Linked DNA regions of Nothobranchius furzeri. The protein of the gene in region 1 purifies or fractionates together with the protein of each later gene. This does not show direct contact. Links are inferred from orthologs where the notes say so. Each region holds a gene or a part of one and is shown on either strand. Other genes may lie near its edges. The genes, in order: med12 and cdk19.

Evidence for each region.
Region 2: the proteins of med12 (region 1) and cdk19 purify together in Homo sapiens (affinity purification with mass spectrometry; 10 studies listed by BioGRID and IntAct, counting the BioPlex papers as one, with this or other methods). This does not show direct contact. The link is inferred for Nothobranchius furzeri from reciprocal best matches to the Homo sapiens genes MED12 and CDK19.

What each region holds. Positions count from the first base shown.
Region 1 is NC_091741.1:82,321,796-82,332,970, reverse strand, and holds part of med12 (mediator of RNA polymerase II transcription subunit 12), read right to left. Parts: coding exon 11,107-11,175; intron 11,026-11,106; coding exon 10,912-11,025; intron 10,784-10,911; coding exon 10,647-10,783; intron 10,231-10,646; coding exon 10,051-10,230; intron 9,808-10,050; coding exon 9,736-9,807; intron 9,644-9,735; coding exon 9,480-9,643; intron 9,385-9,479; coding exon 9,223-9,384; intron 9,151-9,222; coding exon 8,949-9,150; intron 8,760-8,948; coding exon 8,650-8,759; intron 8,568-8,649; coding exon 8,432-8,567; intron 6,795-8,431; coding exon 6,645-6,794; intron 6,360-6,644; coding exon 5,994-6,359; intron 5,921-5,993; coding exon 5,779-5,920; intron 5,693-5,778; coding exon 5,502-5,692; intron 5,409-5,501; coding exon 5,334-5,408; intron 4,485-5,333; coding exon 4,276-4,484; intron 4,148-4,275; coding exon 3,973-4,147; intron 863-3,972; coding exon 674-862; intron 1-673. UniProt on the Homo sapiens protein: Component of the Mediator complex, a coactivator involved in the regulated transcription of nearly all RNA polymerase II-dependent genes.
Region 2 is NC_091742.1:28,593,207-28,604,916, reverse strand, and holds the start of cdk19 (cyclin-dependent kinase 19), read left to right. Parts: upstream 1-5,585; 5' UTR 5,586-5,692; coding exon 5,693-5,695; intron 5,696-5,769; coding exon 5,770-5,915; intron 5,916-11,710. Other genes in the region: amd1 (S-adenosylmethionine decarboxylase proenzyme), read right to left, coding at 4,721-4,833.

The DNA.
Region 1 (11,175 bases):
TATGTAAGCCACAGGGAAGGTGATGTGTGTTCTGTGGAGCGGGTTGAATTAGCATGGTTAACTGACACCGTGACTCTGTGTGGTAGGAGCGTGATAGAGGATCGTGTCTGTAGCGTTACAAAGCGTTGAAGAAAAAGCCTAATAAAGGTCTGTGTGAACCTCTATTGGCTCCTGCTGGTTGATTTGGGGACTATAACCCTGCCGCTGGGATGCTTGTACTTGCTTGTTACCACATTCCACCCGGCCACAATAAGAGACCGGCCATTATTCACCTCCGCTGACTCCGACACCGGCCAAAATTGGAGACCCGGCCTTTAATTGAATACCGGCCTGTATTAGAGGATTTACGGTAATAACGTAAATTCAGCTTTAATAATTTTCATTCTATACAAAATCTGCTGATTTTAGAAGCATTAATGTCAGTATATCGGTATTGGCAAATATCGGTTATTGGCCATAACAGTGATCTTAATATCGGATATCGGTACATCACTAAATTTTTGTTTTTATTTTGAACTAAGAAAAACTAATTAGAACTGGACTTTTATGGATTATACTGGACAATTAAGTTTTTTTATTGAATAAATAAATGTCCAACCATTAGGGTCATTTAAAATTCTACTATATTTTGCAGACCAGAGGACAACTAAAGGCTTTTATGAGTCATACTTACCATGGGCTGCTGAGGGGGCAGTGGCTGCATGTTCAGACCCTGGTTCTGTGTTTGACCTGGAGGAGCCACGGCTGAAACCTGCTGCTGCTGTTGCTGCTGCTGCTGTGAAACCTGCTGCTGAGGAGGAACCTGCTGTTGCTGAACCTGCTGCTGCTGCTGCTGTTGCTGCTGAGCTTGAGCCTGCTGCTGCTGCAGAAGGACAAAAGTATTACAGCAAGAGAAACTAACTTCAGTAAAGTTATGTCTAAATTCATCGGCTTCTCACTCTAATGCCCTTCAGAGCCCCCACTGAAAAAAAGGTAAAGCTTCCAAAGAACGTCTCAGTTCACTGAATGCACCAGCTTGCTTCTCTAAGGTTTTAAGGTTTATTTTCTCTTTTTCAGTTCTTTGAAATGTAGTGATAATGTATACGTAACAGAAAAAAGTTAGCCTTTCAGATGAAGCAAAGTTTTCCTTGTCACTGCTTTTTCTTTTTGTTATTAAAACGACAACAACCTTAGCCTAGAAATGTAGAGAGACCGTAGCAGGAGCAAAAGTCTCTGCAGGTCAGTCTAGCCACACTCCACTAGGTCCTCAGCAGGCCTGAGCAGTCTCGCAAGGGCTGCCAAGTTTTCCATGCATGAGAAGGGTATGGGGTGCCTCGTGTCACCTCACTCCGCTGCACCACAGTTGGATGTTGGACATTTGACAGATATACACTCATAGTTCACCACAGTTAGCCGGAGATTTTCATGCCGTGTGCTGCACCAGAGAGAGACAGCGGTCAGCTGTGTTCCGGGGACTTGCTCATGAAAGCGGTGGTCCGCTTAGGGACCGTCAACAGTTTCTAGTCTTAATTAAATTATTGAAAATCAATTCCATGTTGTCTTACTGAACTAGACCAACGAGGCACAATAGTTAGAAACATATTTCATACAATCTGACCTTTTTTTTATAAGTAAAACTTTTTTGTCAATAGCTTACAGGTAAATTGATTAAAATACTCCAACCTAATTCCCAACGGTGTTACTAAGCTAGACCAATCCCACAACAACAGCCTTTAACACATTTCATACAGTCCTGTACATTTTTTATAGATTTTTATGAAAAATTAAGTGATTTTCTTCAAAAACCTCCAGGTAAATTAAAACATTACTCAAAACTAATTAAGTATTTTTTACTTTGCTAAACCAATGAGACACAACAGTTTTTAACATGTTTAATTGAAAGAGATCCTTTTTATTAATGTTTTTATGGCGATTTCTGTATTTTGCTTCAATAGTGAGCCTAAGTCACGCCCATCTTCTTCCGGACCATGGGTCCCCGGAAGAACGAAAAATTGACTGCAAGTCAGTGGGACTAAATTTGTTATTTTCTAATGGAGGCAAAAGTTATTTTAGGTTTTGTGTGAAAATACATCCAGGACTACAAATGCACATCGCCAATTGACGTAATCAAATCAGACATGGAGAAATGATGAGGAAAAGTGGCTGTAAAATCAGCCAACTTCAAATCCTTCCATCAGGAGGAAAGAACCACCATGAAACTGGCCATTTGGTCAGTAGAAGCTACGCTAGGGGAGAGGAGATTCTATGGTGACATCATATATGTGACTTGCCGATGTCTGATTTGTAGTCATTGTAATTACAAATTGCTTTTCATTTAAATTGAAGTACAACAGAAGACGTGCTGGAACCAGACAGCAGCGCCAGCTCAATTTTTTTCTTAGTTCCAACAGGGCGGCCAGACAAGCTGAAATTGCATGTGGAATATGCTGGCCACAGGAGGCGATAGGGCCTGGGTGGCCTTTCATTAATCCTGTAAAGGTTCGTTTCAACACATACTGGCTCAAGAAAATCATTTAAAAATATGAAAGAGTAGCAAAGTATTCCTTTAAAAGTATCATGTTTCTTATTTAATCTGGATCCTTATCTAAGGCCAGGGTGCCTTTATGCTCCTGTTCATTAAAGGTGCATGAAGAAAGAATGACATTCAGTGGTCAAATGTGGGTACTGCAGTCTGTATTAAAACAAATGAGTCTGCTCTGAGCAAACATTTCCAGTTACAACTCAGCACCAGAAGAGTCTTGATGACGAGCAAAGACGAGTCATACACAGTAAACTGATGAGTAAATTAATTTCACTGTAGTATCGAGTTTTTGCTAATTGAAAAAAGTAGCTTTAGATATTTTTACATCCGACTGTGTCCTTTTAATTCACTGTTGGCATTGTTAGCTCAGCTTTAGCCATTAGCCTTCTTTATCCTATTGAAGCAAAAAGATGCCGAGGCTTCTTAGGGGTACAAGAAATAACTTCTGGGCTGCTTCCTTTAATGGCCAACATACCTTCCACAACTCTGGAGCGTTTTGTCAGCCAGTGTTGAATTACAAAAGCCAGTGCTGCAGTGTCAGATCAGCACAGAATTGGCAACCCCACAGGCTCAAAGAATGTGAAAAGTGACTGTGTCCGTTTTTGACCATTGTGAAAGGAGAAAAACTGACAACCGCCCAGCCGGCTGAGAAGGAAATTTGTTTCAGTGTAACTTTCCTTTCAACATCATTGAGACATTAGACGGGTTTGTTATTTTTTTCACTATAAATTTCTTACTTCTTGTACCTTTAAGCTCTTACTTTAAATCAGAGTTGAGTAGACTTGCTTATCTACATTGTTTTATTGTTTTATTTTGGTGTATTTGGCAACACCTTAACCCATACACTTACAACACAATGCATATTTTAAGCCCTACTTAAATGTTGAGTACTTGTAATTTTTTTCTTTAAAGTACATTTGAAAATGTATACTTTAACACTACTTCTTGAATACTTCAATTTTTCCTTAGGTCATTTGCACCCCCTTATCTGTACTTTTACTTAAGTAAAACCATCAAGTATTTCTTCCACTACTGGTCCAAACAAAACCAAGACCAAAATGGATCACTGCCATCTTAAATCCAAAAATGTCACAGTGGTGTATGTAAATGATATTTCATCTAGTTGGATAGATTCCTTTTTACTACAACATCCATAATTCAGGTATTGGCAGCAACAACTAGCTGTACTGGTTCTGGTACAGCAGGGGGCACTTCCAGCAGGAGCATCATATTTCTGCCAGAAACAGAAAGTGTAAGGTTTAAAAATGTTCCAATTTTAAGGCTAGAGTTTTTTCAAGAAGGCTAAATCTGCTTAGAAAGTTAGGCTGCTCAGACCACGTCAAGCTCAGAAACTTTAATTTCCAGGCCTTGTAATCATACTCTATCCTTTTATTATTAAGAATAAACTAAACCAAGCTAAAACCTGTGTAAACCAGTGATCAGTCTCTTACTCGGAGTGCTACTTGTCTGTTGTAATGTTGCTGTTGCTGCGCTGCTTGTTGCTGCTGCTGTTGCTGCTGCTGATCTGCCAGCATCGGATTGTGCCTCAAGCCAGAATACACTCCCTGGGGTCCTGTTTGGCTGAGACCCTGCATGACAGGATTCGACTGGTGGGTTTGAGGAAACCTGAAGTTTACAACCCCCCCCCCCCAAAAAAAATGAACAGGAGCAAAATTAGTAAAGATAAAGACTTAGCTTTAAATTTAAAAAAGTAAAAACACAAGACTAAGCAGCTGCTGTCCTACAAAGCTGACCTTGGTGTTGTTGGCATCTGCACGTAGGGGCCTGGAGCCTGCTGGAGAACATATCCATTAGGCCTCGGCTGCATTTGCCTGTGAGGATCCACCACGGCGGGGTTTGGTCCAGGATGGGTGCTCTGGAAGTTCTGGTTCCCATAGGGGGAGGAGGAAAGGATTCCACCACTCATGCCCACGTGGGGTCCATATGAGGTATAGCTCTGAGACTGGATTGGAACAAGGTTGGTAATCAATTGAAATGTTGATTTCTCAGCTTAGTTATGTGGTCAACACTTGAAGATGTCTTAAGCCGGGTGTACACTGTGCGACTTTTTCACTTTTTTGAGCCGATTTTCCAGTCGTGCGAGAATCCACGACATCGGGGCGAGTTTTGCGCCGAGCGGTCGTGTAGTGTACAGGGGGTTACGAGAGGCGATTAACACCACGTGACCAGCTACCGATCAGCAGTCGTGAGGTCGCACGGACTTCTGGCGTGTTTAATATTTTGCTCGTCCCTCGTGAGGGTATCGCACTGTTGAAGCAGCGCTGCGAGCAGCTGCGACCCAAAAAGTATCAGAACCGCTCACGGCGCATGCGCAATCATGCATCAACGCCGCTCGCTATTTCCCTAATAACACACGCTGTTCGTTTTTGTTTCTACACGTTTTTTTACTCACAAAGATTGTCAAGAAAGCGTGTTTGTCGTGTTCATGTCAAATTAAACTGATCACAAAACACAGATTTACTTTCTTTATTTCGTTTTCCTAATCCAACCCCCATAAATCCCTGTGTGTCCTCCTGCAGCACTCCCGAAGGACAACAGGCAAAACAAGACAAAAAAGTCTGACGTGTTGAGTAAAAACGGCTATTTTTAGCATATTTTTAGGGCCGACGTGTTGCTACCAGACGTACAGTGTGAGCAGTCAGGTCGCATCCGAGAACTGGGTCGTGCAGTGTGAGCAGATGACTCGTGAGATCTGCCCTGCGAGGAAGTCGTACAGTTTGAGCTGAAGCTGAGTGCTACGAGTGAAAAAGTCGCACAGTGTCCGCCCGGCTTTAGACTAAAACGCACCCACCTGTGAGGCTTGCATTGCCGTGTATGGTTGGTTAGGAGCCATTTGCCTCATGGGCTGTCCATGAGCTTGGCTTTGCTAAGAAAAGTGATTGTAACATTAGTTCGAGTAACAAGAGGATATAAACATCAGACGGGATTATTTGATCGGGTAGGAACAGGCACAACTCACCAGTCTGTACATTAACTGCTGCCGTGGGTTCTGGCTCTGAGCCATGCTAGGTGGGGGCTTGTAGGGCATTTGGTATGGCTTGTCAATTCCAACCAAACCAGCCATGTTGGGTGGATAGCTGGGTCGAGTGGGTATCATTTTGTTTATCATGTTACGCGGAGGTCTGTACGGAGGCTCCAACCCTGGACCTCCTGATGGAAAGGCACAGGAACGTAAAACCAAGACTGGGTTTTGCTTAGTCTCCAAAACTAGGCCTTTGATGATGCTGTGGGCTTACCTGGAGGCAGGGGTTGGTTCTGTGCCAACATGCCCATGGGCTGTGGGTTGTAGGGTGTTCTGCCATATGGGTGGCTCTGCATTAACTCTGGGGCAATGTTTGGCATGTAGTTCACACCTCCTGTTGCACGATTCCCATAATCCTGTCAAAGAAAAGCCAGTTAACTCCCTAATTCTAAATTAAAACATGCCTGTTGGACACGAAGCTACTCAGACCTCTGTTTTGGTAGAGGAAGACTTCTTCTTTTTGCTAGGCTTCTTCTTGTTCGACTCTGGAGGAACAGCTGGCACATTCTTCTCTGCTTTCACCGTCTCCATCATCTTCTTCTCTGGCTCCTGAGGGACAGGCGTCAAGGGTTCCTCTTCCTCAGGGGGCAGAGGGAGAGGCTCCAGGTAATAGCTGCGAGGTTTGGGCTTCAGGTGGGTGTGGTAGAGCAGGAAACGCTGCTGCTCCTCAAATTTAGTGATCTTCCGGTCCACACGTACAGTTCCAAACCAGCCCCAGGAGAGAGGGGCTGAGTGTTTCAGACCCTCAAACACATCCCAAGGAGAAATCTTCTGTTTGGTTGATACTTGAAGGCCCTGATGAACCAAATTACACATTTTAATCAATAACAAAAGCCTAAAAGACCTGAAATATTGAACATTAGAAAATTTAAATGACCAGTGTTTCAAAAACAAATGAAGCTGTAGAAGCAGTGATGATTAGCCTAACAGTTGCTTTTGATCATTATGACAAAAACAATGTCTTTGCACTGTCCTCTATTTGTCTCAGAACCACCAAATCTCCAAGTTCTAGCATTCATAAGAACCTAACCCAAAGCCATTGTCGATCGTCATGTTGAACGAGGAGTAAAGTGTGTCTACCTCCTTCTCAAAGCCGGCGATCTTGTTGCCCTTTGTGTCTATTAGTGAGCCTTGGGGTTCACAGGTGATGACATCACGGGTTTGTTTCGGTAGCGGCAGAAGCTGGCGAACCTTCTCCAAACTTTCTGACTGTCGATCTCCAAGCTCCTTCTGTACGAGTAAGAACAAACGGAGCAACAATTACAAAATCGTACAACCTCAAATGTCAAAGATTTTACCTTAGTCAGAACCACTTTTAACCCTTCGAGCTGGAGCGTCCCCTAATTCTGGGACAAACAGGTGAAGCAGCAAAAGGCCTAGAGCCCAAAGTCATTAGATCATCAGCAGCCATATTGTTTGGCTATTTTACTGTCTGGAAACATATTCTTGAATAGTCCGAATTACCACGCATTCTAATATTACGCAGTAAAACTCAAAAGTTGCTCTTGCTTTCCTTATATAATATATGCTCATACAAGCTGACAGCTTAACAGCTTAATTGCACTGAATTATTTAGATACTTAATAAAAATTAATAAAAAAAATGTTAATGTCTTTAATAGTAATGATTTATTTTGTATATTGCCGATTGAACGCTGCAGAGTGGTTGGAGAAACGGGTTTCAACTCACTCACTCACTTACACACACAAACACACACACACAGGGTACGAAATTAAATTTTTTACTCACCGGCCAAGCGGCATATTTTTTACCGACCAAAATTCTAAATGATTTAGATCTACCTAAAGCATGTTACTCTATATTATGTTGATTCCAGACAGAGTGACAAAATAATTAAAACATCAATTAATAAGAAAAACAACTCTTTTGTCATTTTTACTATTTATTTATTTTTAGAGATGTTTTTATGAACTCTTTCATTGAAATCTAGTCAGACTCCTTGTTTTCTCTGTCCATGAAGTCTGGCCTCCTGCTTCTGACACCGTCTTTGTGCCAAAGCATTACAGCCTCATTTGGGTCCTAGTCCTTGATCTCTGGAGAACACAGCTGCACCATGAGAATATCTGAAAGTGTGTCAGGGCTAGGGTTGTCACGGTAACGGGTGTAGCAGTAAACCCCGGTAAAAAAGTTGACAATAATAATAACCGTCTTGTTTTAAAAAAAAAAAAATCTCGGTGGATTACCGTGGCTGTGGTGTAGGCGCGGTGACCCTTACCAGCCACCGTATCATCTGCTGAAGTAGCCGGCGGCACATGCGCACTTTGTTGTTTACAACCAAAACTTTCTTGAAGCTAAAGCTGAAATAATGGCCAAAGGAGATGGCAGCACTTGGGACATTTATTATCCTTCAAAGAAGAAAAAGTCAGAAGTACGGGCATTTCTTGGATATTTGAAGAATGCCGAGGGACACACACTTGACCTTTTTAAACCCCAGGACAGCAGCAAGTGGGAACTGGAGGATGGAGAGAGGCAGCGGGCAGGACACAGGATGAAGACGGGGGGAGGGTTACGCTATAGGTTAGGCAGAATTGTTTTTTTCTGCTTTTCTACAATGACTGGCCTAAACTTCTTCACCATGTGCTGAGTCGTGTACCACACATGCTTTTTTGCTACAGAACTCACGTGTCCACAGCTTTTTGCGTAGTTTAGAGGGGTGAGTCATACCAAGGTAATTAGATGCCAAACTGCATAACTGCCAAGCAAAGTGTGTACAGGTTGGCAGGTCTGAAACTAGAATAAAAGCCCCTTGATTATTGCCGTAGCTCAACTACACACTTGCACACTCTTTCAGCCCCCCCCCCCCCCCCACACACACACACACACACACACACACACACAGGTCCTACCCTGAGCTTCTTCACCAGGTTCATGTAAGCTCTCTTGTTCTCCTCCATGCTGCCCTGGGAGATGCTGGACATGTCAGCAGCCAGCGTGCCATTTATTAGCACACTTAACATGTCCAACACCGTTGTGAACAGCTCACTGCAGAAAAGAGACGGAGATGAGCACCAGACAGGCACATTACTGACAGTGACTTTGGAAACTCCCTGTAGGCAACACTCACTTGTTGGACTGCATATCCACCGTGCCGCTGCTGATGATGTCGAGGAGAAGAACTGCCCATTCAGTGGTCTGCTGGGTGCTCCGCTGCACCGTATCAAACATGCCTCCAACCTTAGCAAGAAAACAAAAACGCTTCATGAAATCTTTTATTCTAAGAACTCAAATCCAGACCAAAGTCGGTTCTGTGTGATAAGGTGCACATGAAACTAGAAACTTGTGCAATTATTTTGAATCAGAATAAACAAAATCTTGTTAAGATGTTGTGTTATACAGCTATCTATGCTTTTGAAAGACGCTCACAAGATTCAGACGTAGTTTCAGAGCCTCGTGCATCATTTGCTTGGCCTTGCAGTCATCCTGGTACTGATCTTCTCTCCAGTTTGTGACAATCTGCTGCACTTGACTGTAGAGGGAGGTAAGAAGGCCTTCCCTCTGTTCATCCTGGCCCTTCAAGCAGGTCAGCACCAAAGACAGGAACGGCTGCTGGCTCAGCAGAGACATACTGCGGGAGCAGAAACACACGATTGTTCCAAAACTACCAAGATTCCAGGGAAAAGACTCAGCTGCCACGTACCTTTTCTGTTTCTGCCTGTCCCTCTCTTTGCGAGAGGAGGAGCCGAGGTGCTGTCCCTTTTCCAGTTCCTCTCCGGCTGCTTTCAGGACATGGCCCTGGACCGATGTGGGCAGCTTGGCTATCAATGGGGCCACCAGCCAGACGCCTGATCGCTCTGAGGAGCTGGATATCAGTGAAAACAAAGATCTTAGCTTCATTCAACCCAAAATGTAGATTAAAGACAGATCCCATTATCAGTGCAGAGTTGAAATCCGCACCTTAAAATAGGTTTCATCTTGCTCGTGGTGCTGTTGCTATTGGATGCAGAGCCAGCCTGGGCTGCCGCTCCATTTCCTGAGGGGTTACTGGAGTTCATCTCAGCTGATTTCTGGAAAACCTCTATAGTGGCTTTAGCTATGTTCTCCAGGAGAGAGTAGAGCTCCTAAATATAAAATAAACACATTTATGTCGCCAGTAACAACTATAAATTCACCATTTTCTGTTACTGGGACAACAGGAAGGAGTTAGACTCACATTGTTTGTGCTCTGTTTGATCATCAGCTGCAGCTCCAGAGACGACTGCCTCATCGTCCACTGGTCCATATTCTGCCACAGAGAGAAAGTGAAAAATGATTTAGTAGGTGGCTGAAAAACATGAAATAATACACTTAGCCAGAAAAGGGCAGGAAAACCCCACGGTTTCATTTGGAAGGAAAAAAAAAACCAAAGCAGCAGATCAAAGGGGTTGATAAATAATGAACTTTATTCCTATAATTGTACAATATTTAATCACAAACAAAAGTAAAGAATTAGATTTTGCTGACAGAACTTGATGCGAGTGTTTTGTACCTGGAGGATGCGTTTGATGCGCTGCCTCTGAGGGTTGTCACCGTCATCGCTGTCCAGCTGGCGGTGAGGATAACAGATGAGCTGCAGGAGCCGCTGGGCCTGTATGTTTACCAGCACCGGGTCCTGCAGAGCGCTGCTGTCCTCAGAGAGGGACTTCAGGCAGCGTTCTCCAACCCACTCCTGCAACACAACAAGATGAGCAGTTGGGGACAGCAGGTAAAAACTTGCATCATCCTCAAGTTTCAGACTCGGTCAAGCAGAACTAGCTTGACTAAAGCTGCAATGGGTGGAGACAAAAGAGGAGGGGAGTAAAAGGCTAATTATAGAGAATAAAAGCTATAATGAGTAAAAAAAACGAGTAAATTCTCATTAAGCCTCAGGACATGTAGAAAACCTCAAAATCCACTTCTAGTTTGTTCAGCAGCACTGACGCATGTGTGCAGTGATTATTCTCACATCTGATAGGTTAGGAGCAACATCAAATGATTTCAGGATAATGAAACTAAGACTTTTTATTTTTATTTTTTAGAATTTTCTGACTTGTGGTGGTTAAATTCACTAGATTAATCCTTCCAATCCACTTCAGCTCAACTCACCTGCTGGCAGATTGTCTTCAGAACATACTTTGCGTAAACATCAAGGCTGGCTGTTTCTATGGAGACATTGCGACCCTCAGATATGTCGTCGAGGCCCGCTGGGTGCGACAGACCCGAGCCTCTTAGCTCAGCGTCACCTGCAGCAACATGAAAGAGCAAATAATCCAAGCAGCAGAATCTGTGGCCTCGTCCGTTCCTAACTCACACAAGAACCCTCAAGCTGCCCTGTTTATGATCACTCTGTTGGAGTTACAAAAACTCCTACCCAGCATAAATACGGCTTTGAGGACAGCAAAAACTGCTCCAACAACTATGCTGTTCTGTGAAGCGGCAAGAAGGTGACGATCACAGGAGGAACGGATCCCCACAGACGACTTGTCTGCAAAGTCACCAGAAAAAAAGCAACAAATCAGTTCTTTCACTATCAGAAGTAACTTGCTGAAGTGTTTGTGCTCAGTACCTGACTTGACGCCATCTTGTGGGACAGGGTTGCGCTGCGGCGTCTTAAACAGGTGCAGCAGAATTCTGC
Region 2 (11,710 bases), on another chromosome or scaffold:
AGCTTGTCACCTGCTGACAGCAGGCTGTTGTCTTTTCCGTGGACTGCATCTTGCCGGTCATTATCACGTGACAGCGACTAGTCGATGACACGCATAACAAGTCACTATAGAGCGGTGAAGTCGACTAGTGACTAGATCATACAACCCCTGCTACTGCTCCCCAGAGTGTTCTGCAGCATAATCAGCACGTTCTCTTTGAACTTAATATCAAATTTTCGCCTCCTCTTTGTCTCCGCACGGTTAAAGTTACCCTCGCGGTCTATCACTGGCAAATCAAAAGTGAGACGATGACACAACCGCCCCCCGTACTTGCTTGTTACCACATTCCACCCGGCCACAATAAAACCGGCCATTATTCACCTCTGTCGACTCCAACACCGGCCAAAATATGATACCCGGCAGGTAATTAAATACAGGCTAATAGAGGATTTACGGTATGTTAATATAAATCATCACAAAACTAAAATATTAGGTGAACAGAAATGACAAGTTACAGTTAAGTCACTTTCAAGCAACTGCATTGGTATTGGTTACGGTATCTGTTAACTTTTCCCGATACTGGTATCTGCACCGATACACATACCAGTGTCGGTATCGGTGCATCCCTATAAAAAACGCTTTTCCGTCTACTGCTCTTAATATAATTCTGACGCCTAACTAAAGCCCCACACTCGTTACATTTATGAACAGAAAGTAAAGAGAGAGCGGGATGACAGCTAAAATGTCCACCAGATTCAGAACTTGTTGCGCAGCGGACCGTCTGGCATGAATTACATAGCGCTGCTTGCGATTGCATGCCTATAAGCGCATTCTGGAGGCCATGGTTTTAATAAAAAAACCATTTAGTTTTCTTACATTGAACTAAATAATTACACTGACATTTCTTTATTTTACTAGACAATTTAGCAGACAGAAGCAAGCAGGAGCGTCACAGCACACTGACCTGTTGCTGGTCTCACTTCAGTTCCCATCGGAGTCTGATTTTCCAACCAGCTATATGTCCTTGATGCATAATCGGATATACAACACATTTTCTGGGCTTATTCGTGGTTCACTGATTAACCCACGTGTGGTAAAAATAGAGCATCCCCTAGTGGTTAAATACATAATTTCATGGCAGGCTCAGAGGACATGCTGAGTCAGAGTGAGGTGCAGATGAAGTGACCATTCGCAGTGTCCAAGGTCACAGGGTGGTTGCGACACTAGGCCAACGTGGCGCCGAATGACGCTGCTTGCAGCTTTGATTATATTTATTATGTACGGTAATGTGCCGAGTTGTCCTCTGCTCTTTCTGCTACAGACTCAACTGATGATGGATGCTCGGCACAAACACTAGCACCTAGATTAGCATTGTGCACCAATAAAAGACACATCTTCCTCACACAAGCAACGTACCTTTGTTCAATAATTGTGGCGTAATGGTACGCTAAAATCATATTCGGTTCAGTGTTTTGAAGAGCTTGGTTTGATTAATTTTTGGTATATTATTATATTTATATAATATCTGAAGCGGCTCCTAAAGTGAGCAGAAGCAGGTGTCATCACAGGCTGCTGATCTATGATGTCTTTAATTATTTCACAGGTTATTAGTGCAGCTATGAGTGTCACGCGCATACAGACACGTGTTGAGTTTGACTGTTGGTGCTCCTGTTTTAGCCTTAAAAACTCACCTCACACCACCGAGTTTCTTCTTCTCGTATAAAATAAGGAGCTTCCTCCGCGCTGTATTTCTGTAGCAGAGATTGGGCGCGTGCAGCCATCATGGGTCACTCAATACAGCGTTCGTCCAGAAACTCAGCTAGGAATTTTTATCTGCTGCACTTAAATCACGCAAATACAAATTCATCATTTAACGGAAAAAATTAACTGAAACGTATGCAAGTGGACTGAACCAAAAAGGCCGAGCCAAAGCGGTTCAACCCCAGTGAACCGTTACACCCCTTTTCACGAGGGATCAGATTTATCAGAATTGGATAATTGGTTCTTTCAACACGGCCCTAAATATGATTGTGAACGGCTGATGAGTTTTAGCCATAATACACCTGGAGATGACATCCACTTGTAAATTAGCAGGTCCTAAAGCTACACGTGAGTATAAAGCCAGTCATGCAGCTCAACATTTTATTCAATAGTTTACACCTACTACATGAGCAACCATGGCTCAATCCTGACTGGCACAATTTACATAAACCTAGGGCTGGGCGATATGGACCAAAACTTATAGCTCGATATCTTTTTGCTGAATTCCGATATATATCTCGATATTTTTCCTCCTGTAAAATATTTACAAGTTAACTCACTTCAAGCTGTCTGGAGAAATTATACATAAATCAGTAGATTAAATGCATAAAAATGTTTTGATTCTTGTCAAACTTTAACCTTAGTGCCTATTCTCTACCAGTCTGAGCTTTAGAAACGCTGGTACAGCTGTCTGCTAACACACACACACACACACACACACACACACACACACACACACACACACACACTTACTTGAGCTAGAGGTGTATCAAATGTCCCACAGGTACTTTTTAATTATATATTCATAATTAATGTAAAAATATTTAAATTCCATCTAGAGGTGGCCGATATCGTTTATTTCTTGCCCAGAGAAAATAAATCTGTCATGTTAAACTAAATGTATGATGATGTCATTGCATCTACTGAAGGTCACATGGGTCATGCACCGTAGAGTTATTAGTTATCAGGGCAAACATGGCTGGAGTCTAACTGTTGGCTCATATCAGCGATTATACTGTAATGACTCAGTCTCTGGTTGCTCTTTTATCAGTATTATTGTCGTGCTACTGTCGCCGTAACCCACGCCTTACAAACTCTTAACTCAGGATGTTTCCTGCATTCAAATTAGCATGGCGACCGCCTCCAGCTAATGTTGTGCCGCCCCAGCCTGATTTCACTCTGCCCACCTCACACAACAGATGATGTCATTCTGTCATGTTTACAAATATTACTGCACATTATACACGCGTGTTTACCATATTACTACTGAGAGGCACAAATTCAATCAGTCAGTGTTCATTTGGGTATTTTCCAATAATGTTATTAAAACATTTATAACTAGAGATTTACTGATGTGAATTGTGTACTTTTCCTTTTCTCTACACTGTCAACTAGGTGCGGTTTCCATTTCCTTTACACAAGTTGAAAATTATTGCATTAAAGAAAAATACATATATTTTAGTCAACTAAAATAAGAAGTTTCTTTTGAACTTTAGTGAAAAGACTTAAACTAAAACTAAACAAAAATGGCTGAGAGCACGTTTTAAAGCATTTGCCAGCACCACCACTGCAGTCGAACGGAGAGCCCAGGGACCTCGTAATCTGAGCTAGCGTCACATTCTGTGAATCAGATGCCCTTGTGGACTTATTTGGACACTGGCTGACATCCAGCAGACCCAATGCACTCACAGTCCCCGTGTATGCTGGTAATCTGCCCTCTGGCCGTAAATCAATGCCAGTCACCACCACTCACCCTAACGGCCACGCCACCATTTATCTTTATTAGCTAATGATCTGAACAGTTGTTCAGCTTCTATAAAAACCCACCAGGGTTAGAGGTTTGTGCAGGACACTTTTAGTCCGGAGAAGGGACGGCCAGGCGCTGCTGGGACTCTGAATGGTACACTCCATTGTTAAAATCGTCACTTGGAAGTAAAACAGCACTAATGATAATTTTACTCAGATTTCTACAATCCTCCGAGGCACGTGTCAGACAGATTTGGGGGCAAAGGTCACGAACATTTTCAACCCTCCCTTCCCATTCTCCTGTGTGTGTGTGAAGGCAGCAGGAGGTTCCGACCCATCTGATAGGTGGAGCCCTCAACCAATCAGAGGCGATGGGAGGGGACTTCCCATGTAATCAGAAATGTGACCGGGCTCCCTCCAACAGCAGAACTTTGGGTCGGCACTAACAAAATGGATAAAGGTGTCTGGACCGTCATGGGACCCTGTTTGTGTTCCCAAGAAGCGAACCGGATCAGTCTTTAGTTCCGTTTTCCTCCGGACACCCACCTGTTTCCCTCATTATAACCGGATCCGTTATCTGGCGCCTCCGGTGGCTGCGGCAGCCGGGCGGGGGCCACATGCTCCTCAGACCCCCAGCGGAGTGGCGCAGAGTAAAATCGCTGCATTCTCCGGAGATCAGCAGAATTTCCATCGTGTCTGTCGTATTAAACCCAGAGAACCGCATCACGAGAAACTGGGCCTCACCATCGGTCCCGCTAACAAAACACTCCAAGCCCACCCCACTTCTACAGCTAAGCTAATACAACACTTACAAACCGCACCCGGGACCGTCCAGCGAGACAGAACAGAGGGTTTCTACCTTCTGTTCCCGAAGCAGCCGTGTGCAGGCCAGCCTGCTGCCCGGTTGTAGCTGACGGGTCCAGCAGCAGCACGATCGCTGTACTGGTCACAGCCCACAGCCTCAGAATGAATGACTCAGCTCAACAGAGCCACACTTTAAAAGGGGAGGAGGCCATTTTCGCTCACGTTGCTAGCCAGATTGGTGGGTGACGGCTAGGCCACAGACAGGTTCGCTAAGCTGCTGAGGGGAAACCAACAGGAAAACAACATTTCTGAACGCTTATTTGGTTATTTAACACTAAACCGCGAAGCCATGATGGACTCAGCCGCTGTTACCGCGAAATTACGCTCGCATGCACGGAAAGACATGAACTCAACCCAGTAGGACTCAAACCTTGGGATGGTGCGGAGGTCCCCGGTCCCCTTGGTCTCATCCTGCCGAGAGAACCACACCTCCAACAGCTTCTCGGTCCCTTCGAAGAAATGTGCACCGTTTTCCTCCATCATGAGACAACAGACGCCCAACAAAAAGGTGTAAACGTTGTTCGCAACGTTTGTATGTTAATAAATCCTTTCTCGATTGACTATAATTTATTGAGGTACAGTCATTAAAGTAATTCTGATGTTAATTTTCTTAAGTTACCGCGTTCCCTTTTGCAGAGAATACAGTTAGCGAGCGCTAGCTAATATCGCCGGCCATACTGTGTAAGCACCGAACGAGCCGCGGACAGCTCTTTTATAGCCTCAAGACTTACGTCACAGTGGATTGACCAATCCGCTTGTATGAGTAGAGGTTGTCCATTGTGATTTGTTGAGGAACCTTCCAATCGCACTGGAGACTGATTTTCCTCACGTGCCATTTTATTGCCACAAGAAAATAAACGTGGTAGGACCGTGTAAACAGGACAGAAAGCGAATTAACTTCATATAATGTTAACACACGTGTTTGCATCGTTAAATGCTGTTATTGTGAGTTATTTGGTTTTCATAGCTTGGACAAAATAATTAAAAATAGTTATTTATATCCCCCAAAAGACAACGTGGTCTGGGACAGCAGCAGTGTGTTTCCAAAATGTATGTTCTAAAAATGACCTGGAGATATGATCACAGGCTATGTTGTTGAACCGCTCACCTCGGGAACAAAAGCGTCCAACACAGAAGTCTGGACCACTAGCGAGCCGAGCACTCATGCGGACCCGTAGGGAGCGGGAAACGCGGGTTGTAGTTTTTCTCATTCTAGTTTCACAGCTAGTGAGTCGCGACGAGAGCTCAGAAGACTCCATTACCCAGCAAGCACTGCGCCCCAATTAGAAGCGTCAACGATCCAGTGAACACAGCGGAGCAGACCAAAATCCCAAACAAGGAAATGGTGGGGGAATAAAACGAGCAGATTATTTAATTAATGCGTGTAATAATTAATATTTTATTTTGTTGTAATTTAAGTCGTCTTTATGGGTTAACATGGATTACGACTTCAAAACAAAGCTGGCAGCCGAGCGGGAGAGAGTAGAAGATCTGTTCGAATATGAAGGTTGCAAAGTGGGTCGAGGCACCTACGGACACGTTTATAAAGCTAAGCGCAAAGACAGGTAAGACCACCGAGGTCCGGTTCCGTTCGCCCTGCCGGTCTCACGGTGCGTTTGGGTTCACACGGGCCGCGCTGGTGTTGGACGGGCGGCAGACCGAACCTTCCAGAGTGTGTCTGTGTTTTTGTTTTCATCTAACACACACACACACACACACACACACACACACACACACACACACACACACACACACACACACACACACACACACACACACACACACACACACACACACACACACACACACACACACACACACACACACACACACACACACACACACCTCTAGCCGCGCTCCTGTCCCAACACGTTTCACCAGAGATGTTTGTGTTCTGACGTTAGCTCTGTGTCTGTTCACCGGACCGCGGTGTCCCTGCTTACAAAACGGCGGGATTCCTCCGGTTTGACCGTAGACAGGTTGTGTCCCTGTGGCTTCTGTCCCTGGGACAGGACCTGTGTGTCCCTGTCTGCTGGCCCGGCCGCTGAGGGACCTGCTCTGTTATCAGTCCCGGTGAATGTTCGTGTGCCAAAGCTCTACTCCGATCTGCATAAAAGCAAAATATCATTTCCAGCTGGTGGGGGGGGGGGGGGATAACACGTCTCACCTTTATGTTAATATTGTTTTATTTGATGCCCTCCACTCTGAACTGCACCAATCCAGCAACTGCTGCATTTTAATAACTAGTATTAAAGGTGAATACACCAATATTTGCACAAGAATAATTTTAGTTTTAAACTCTCAGTGACACACTTTGCAGGGGGAGGGGGGGTGGCATTTAATTTTTCGTCTGGAAAAACATCTCCTTCTGCCCCCTTTATTTTGGTCCAAGACCATTACTGGGCTGGCCCTATTAAACACCTTCTACACCCCTGCTTAGTAGACTTAATGAAGTATTTTTAAGCCAGTATAAAAATGACTGAAACACAAATTTACATATTTGGCATTATTGACCAATATCTTTGATTTAATTTATTTGTTGAGAACATCAAGATGCATTACAGTGAACATTATAATAAAGTACATGTTTCTAGTGCAGAGAGGAGACAACCCATAGAAGCACTGGTCTGATCTCATTTCAGAGAAAACTAGAACAGGTCAGATGCACCTAATAAATAAAATTACTAACGTAAACTCAGGAATCTTGTTTCTTTGCTTCATTGTTCTGGTGCTGGAAACATCACTAATGCGGATCAAAGGAGACACACAGATGAATGCACCTCTTATTTATTATTTGGAAATTAGTGGGTGTTGTTTACATCAATACATTATTTTAAATCTGAAATTGATATGGATTGATCAGAAGTTGCTATGTGTGTATTGTTTATCTGAAAACTATTTACAGAGCAGCCTCAGAACTGAGATTAAATATGTTTGATCACAATAGTAAAGAAACTGTTACAGAACAAGTTTTTCAGTAAAATCAGAACATTATTTATTTATTTATTTATTTATTTAACTTATGTTTTTTCAGGAGGATAAACTGCTTGAGATGTAACATCTCGTTTTCGAGCAGGTCCTCCTACAACACAACCAATAACAAATAAGGTGGCAGAGTTAGAAAGTTGTAACAGAAATAAAAAAAAAAAAGGGGAAAGTAAATAATAGTAAAATCAACGATATGTATAAATGTATATATATACACACGTAAATATAAACACATAAGCAAGGATACATAGATACCAACAAGTGTACATACGTACATACATACCTATATACCAAATTAAATTAAATAAAACTGCTGTGAGGCACTAAAAGAGAAATAAGGGCAAGAAATTACATTATAAATAAATCTAAAGTGAAGTAGTATCCCAATTGAATACAAAGTTTGGCAACGAAATACAGCATGTTAGCCATTGAATGCACAAAATCATCATAGTAAAGATTAAACAAAGCAACTACAGCTTGGCTTTACATAAGCATAAACAGTGCGGGAAAATTTACGAATTGTTGAGATGGATCTTAATTCAGCGGGTAATTTATTCCAGTCCTGAGGAGCTTTAACACAAAAGGCGAGTCTACCCACCTCCTTTTTAAAACGAGGAACAACAAATGATGGAAGAGTAGTTAAGCGGGTTGAATACAAGGAATCAATGGGAACCAAAAGTGTTTTTAGATAAAGTGGAAAATCAAAATAAATGCACTTAAACATAAATATCAACCAATGAAATTGTCGTCTAGCTTTTAAAGGAAGCCAACCAAGAAGATCATACATATAACAATGATGAGTGTTAAATGAACACCGCAAAATAAAACGACACAAACTGTTATAGACGACATCAAGAGACCGCAGGCTAGAAACTGTTGAGTTTTGGTATAAAATATCAGAATAATCAATGATCGGTAACAGAAGCTGAGTGACGATGCACTTTCGAACAATAGGTTCAAAGCAATTTATTGAGTTATAAAGGATACGTAAACACCGTGTGACCTTAAGACATGTTGTGTGAATGTGAAATTTAAAAGACAGCTCTGGCTCTAGCCAAACTCCTAAATATTTCATTTTAACAGACGGTTGAACCGGGGAGGAATCCAAAAAATAAAGATTAAGAGTCCTGTCACTGTCAGATAGAGTTCTACTTCTGTGAAACAGCATGGAGTAAGTCTTAGATTTATTTAAAAGAAGTTTGTTCTGCATTAGCCAGAGCTGCACCTTGTCAAAATTAGGCTGAATAGCTTCTTGTAATTCGGATTAACTCGACTTAGAACAGTATAAGACTGTGTCATCTGCATATAACTGAACAGAACAGGATCTGCAGCACTGTGGTAAATCATTAATAAAAATTGAAAATAATAATGGCCCAAGTGAGGAGCCTTGGGGAACACCTCTGATGACACCACGCATGTTTGATTCAGAACCATTAAAGGAAACAAATTGAGAACGATGATGAAGAAAAGAACTAAACCACAGTAGAGACGGCCTTGACAGACCAAAAGCATATAATTTATCTAAAAGTAGATAGTGATTGACGAGGTCAAAGGCTTTTGTTAAATCAAGAAAAATCGCACCACCAAATAAATTATTGTCAAAACCAGAATAGATGTCATTAGAAAATTTGAGCAGTGCAGTAGTTGTCGAGAAGTTTTTTCTGAACCCCGATTGGTACTGTGATAGTAGGTTGTTATCCTCTAAGTATTTAGATAGTTGGATAAAAACCAGTTTTTCAAATACTTTAACAACTGTATTAATTATAGCAATGGGTCTATAGTTATTAGGTTCAGATGTATCATTTCCTTTATGCAGTGGTATTATTTTAGTACATTTCCAAGCTTTTGGAACAGAACATGAGTTAATTGAATGATTAAAAAGAATAGATAATGGTAAGGCTAGAACATCAGCAGCTATCCTAACAAAGCGACTCTCAATGCCATCTGGACCTGCAGCATTCCCACTAGAGAGAGACAGTATAACTTTACGCACTTCCTCAGAACGAATTTCAGAAAAAGAAAATCCACTGGAGCAACAGTGAGGCAGGGTGTAAGACCCATGATGTTCTGCAGAGGCAGGGAGAGGAGAGGAAGCAAAGTGCTTACTGAATGCTTCAGCAATTTCAGCCGGGTCATTAATAAGACTCCCATTAACATTCAGATGTGAGATTTTAACATTAGTTTTCCCCCTCAGGTCTTTAATTTTATCCCAGAAGCGCTTAGGGTTATTGATATCCTTATGCAAAGCATTCTTATAAAAATTAGCTTTAGCATTCCTAGTCTGGGTAGTACAGAAGTTCCTTAGTTTTCTATAAACTGTCCAATGCTCATGCAGATTGCTAAGTTTTGCTACTTTCCACGCTTTGTCGCGCTTCTTAAATAAAGCAATTAAATCATGAGAAATCCAAGGCAAATGGCTGCCCTTAATTTTTACACTGACCCAAGGAGCATGTTTATCAAGAACCTGCATGAACTGAGAGTGGAAAAATGCCCAAGCATCATTAACATCAGGTATAAGAAACAATCTATTCCAATTAAGAGAATGCAGCTCCTGTAAATACTGATCAGTATTAAAAGTATGCAAGTCACGAAGTCTGATCATCTTAGCTGGTGTATGTGGTAAAGATATTTTCCAGAAGCAAAAAATAACAGAATGATCACTAAAACAGTTGGGCAAAATGCCATAATCAGAAAATCTGTCTGGGTGAGTTACTAATATCCAGTCAATGAGAGAAGAGTTTGTGGCACAAGTCCTAGTTGGCTCTGAGACCAGCTGTGTCAGATTTGAGCTATTTAAAAGAATACGTTCTGGAAGAGTAGATTCATCAAGCCAGTTAAGATTGAAGTCGCCAAGTAAGATCAATTCCATTGAGTCCCCCAACGAATCAACCGTTGCTAGTAAATTTTGTATTGCTTCAAGTCTAGGGGAGGAGGGGGGGCGATAGATGTTGCCAATTATAATGTGCTTATTTCCATTAAAAGAAATTTTAGTAAAGATGGCTTCGAAGTGAAGTGGTTTGACTGTCGGGACAATAACCTGAGACTGCAGACTAGAGGAGACATAAGTGGCAACCCCGCCACCCCTTGTCCCTCTATCCATTCTATATAAAACAAAGTTGTCAAGAGAAATATCATTGTCAGAAATGTTATCATTCAACCATGTCTCAGACAACGTAATTATTTTTGGTTCATTATAACCAAGCCATGCTTTTAATAAATCAGTTTTAGGAAATAAGCTTCTTATATTGAGATGGATTATGTGTAAACCTTTACCCATAACAAGAAAAACGAGGTACAAAAATAACCCTCACAGCAGGCAGATACAGAAGAAAATCTAAAACAAAAATAAACAGAAAAAAAAGAACAAAATATAATAAAATTACACGGAAATTAAATGAGTTATCACTCATAGTCCAGAAAGTCTCAGATCTGAGCCCATGGCCTGCAACCTGCTCAAAGCACAGCCACCTAAACTAATAAAGATTGCCATAACTCAACAAGGTGGCTGGATTTTATCAATATAAGTAAATAAGAATAAAGTAAGGATAATTTGACCTTAGACGAAATTTGATTTCACCGAACAAGAGGAGAAGCAAAAACAAAAAGGAATTACCTACTCTGCGGAAGAGCCAGAATTAGAATAATAAAAGAAAGAGGAAAGTCACAAGTCCGCCCTCCGCAGGTGCTCGTACACCCAAAACCTCTCAGGGCATCTCAACCCAAAGAGTCCAGGTGACTTTCAGCAGCCACTGGGTCTGTAAAAAGCAGATGATCACCATCAGAGATTATCTTGATGCTTGCAGGATAAAGAAGAAAAGCTTGTAGTCCCAAGGCGCGAGCCCAGTTCAAAACCGGGAAGCAGCGGCGTCTCCGACGAGCTGTTTCATCGCTGAAACAGCATGGAGTAAGTCTTAGTGCAGAGAGGAGACGACCCATAGAAGCACTGGTCTTATCTCATTTCAGAGAAAACTAGAACAGGTCAGATGCACCTAATAAATAAAATTACTAACATAAACTCAGGAATCTTGTTTCTTTGCTTCATTGTTCTGGTGCTGGAAACATCACTAATGCGGATCAAAGGAGACACACAGATGAATGCACCTCTTATTTATTATTTGGAAATTAGTGGGTGTTGTTTACATCAATACATTATTTTAAATCTGAAATTGATATGGATTGATCAGAAGTTGCTATGTGTGTATTGTTTATCTGAAAACTATTTACAGAGCAGCCTCAGAACTGAGATTAAATATGTTTGATCACAATAGTAAAGAAACTGTTACAGAACAAGTTTTTCAGTAAAATCAGAACATTAATATTTAAGTGCATGAATTAATGCATCTGAACTCATGCAGTAGGAACTAGGAAATAT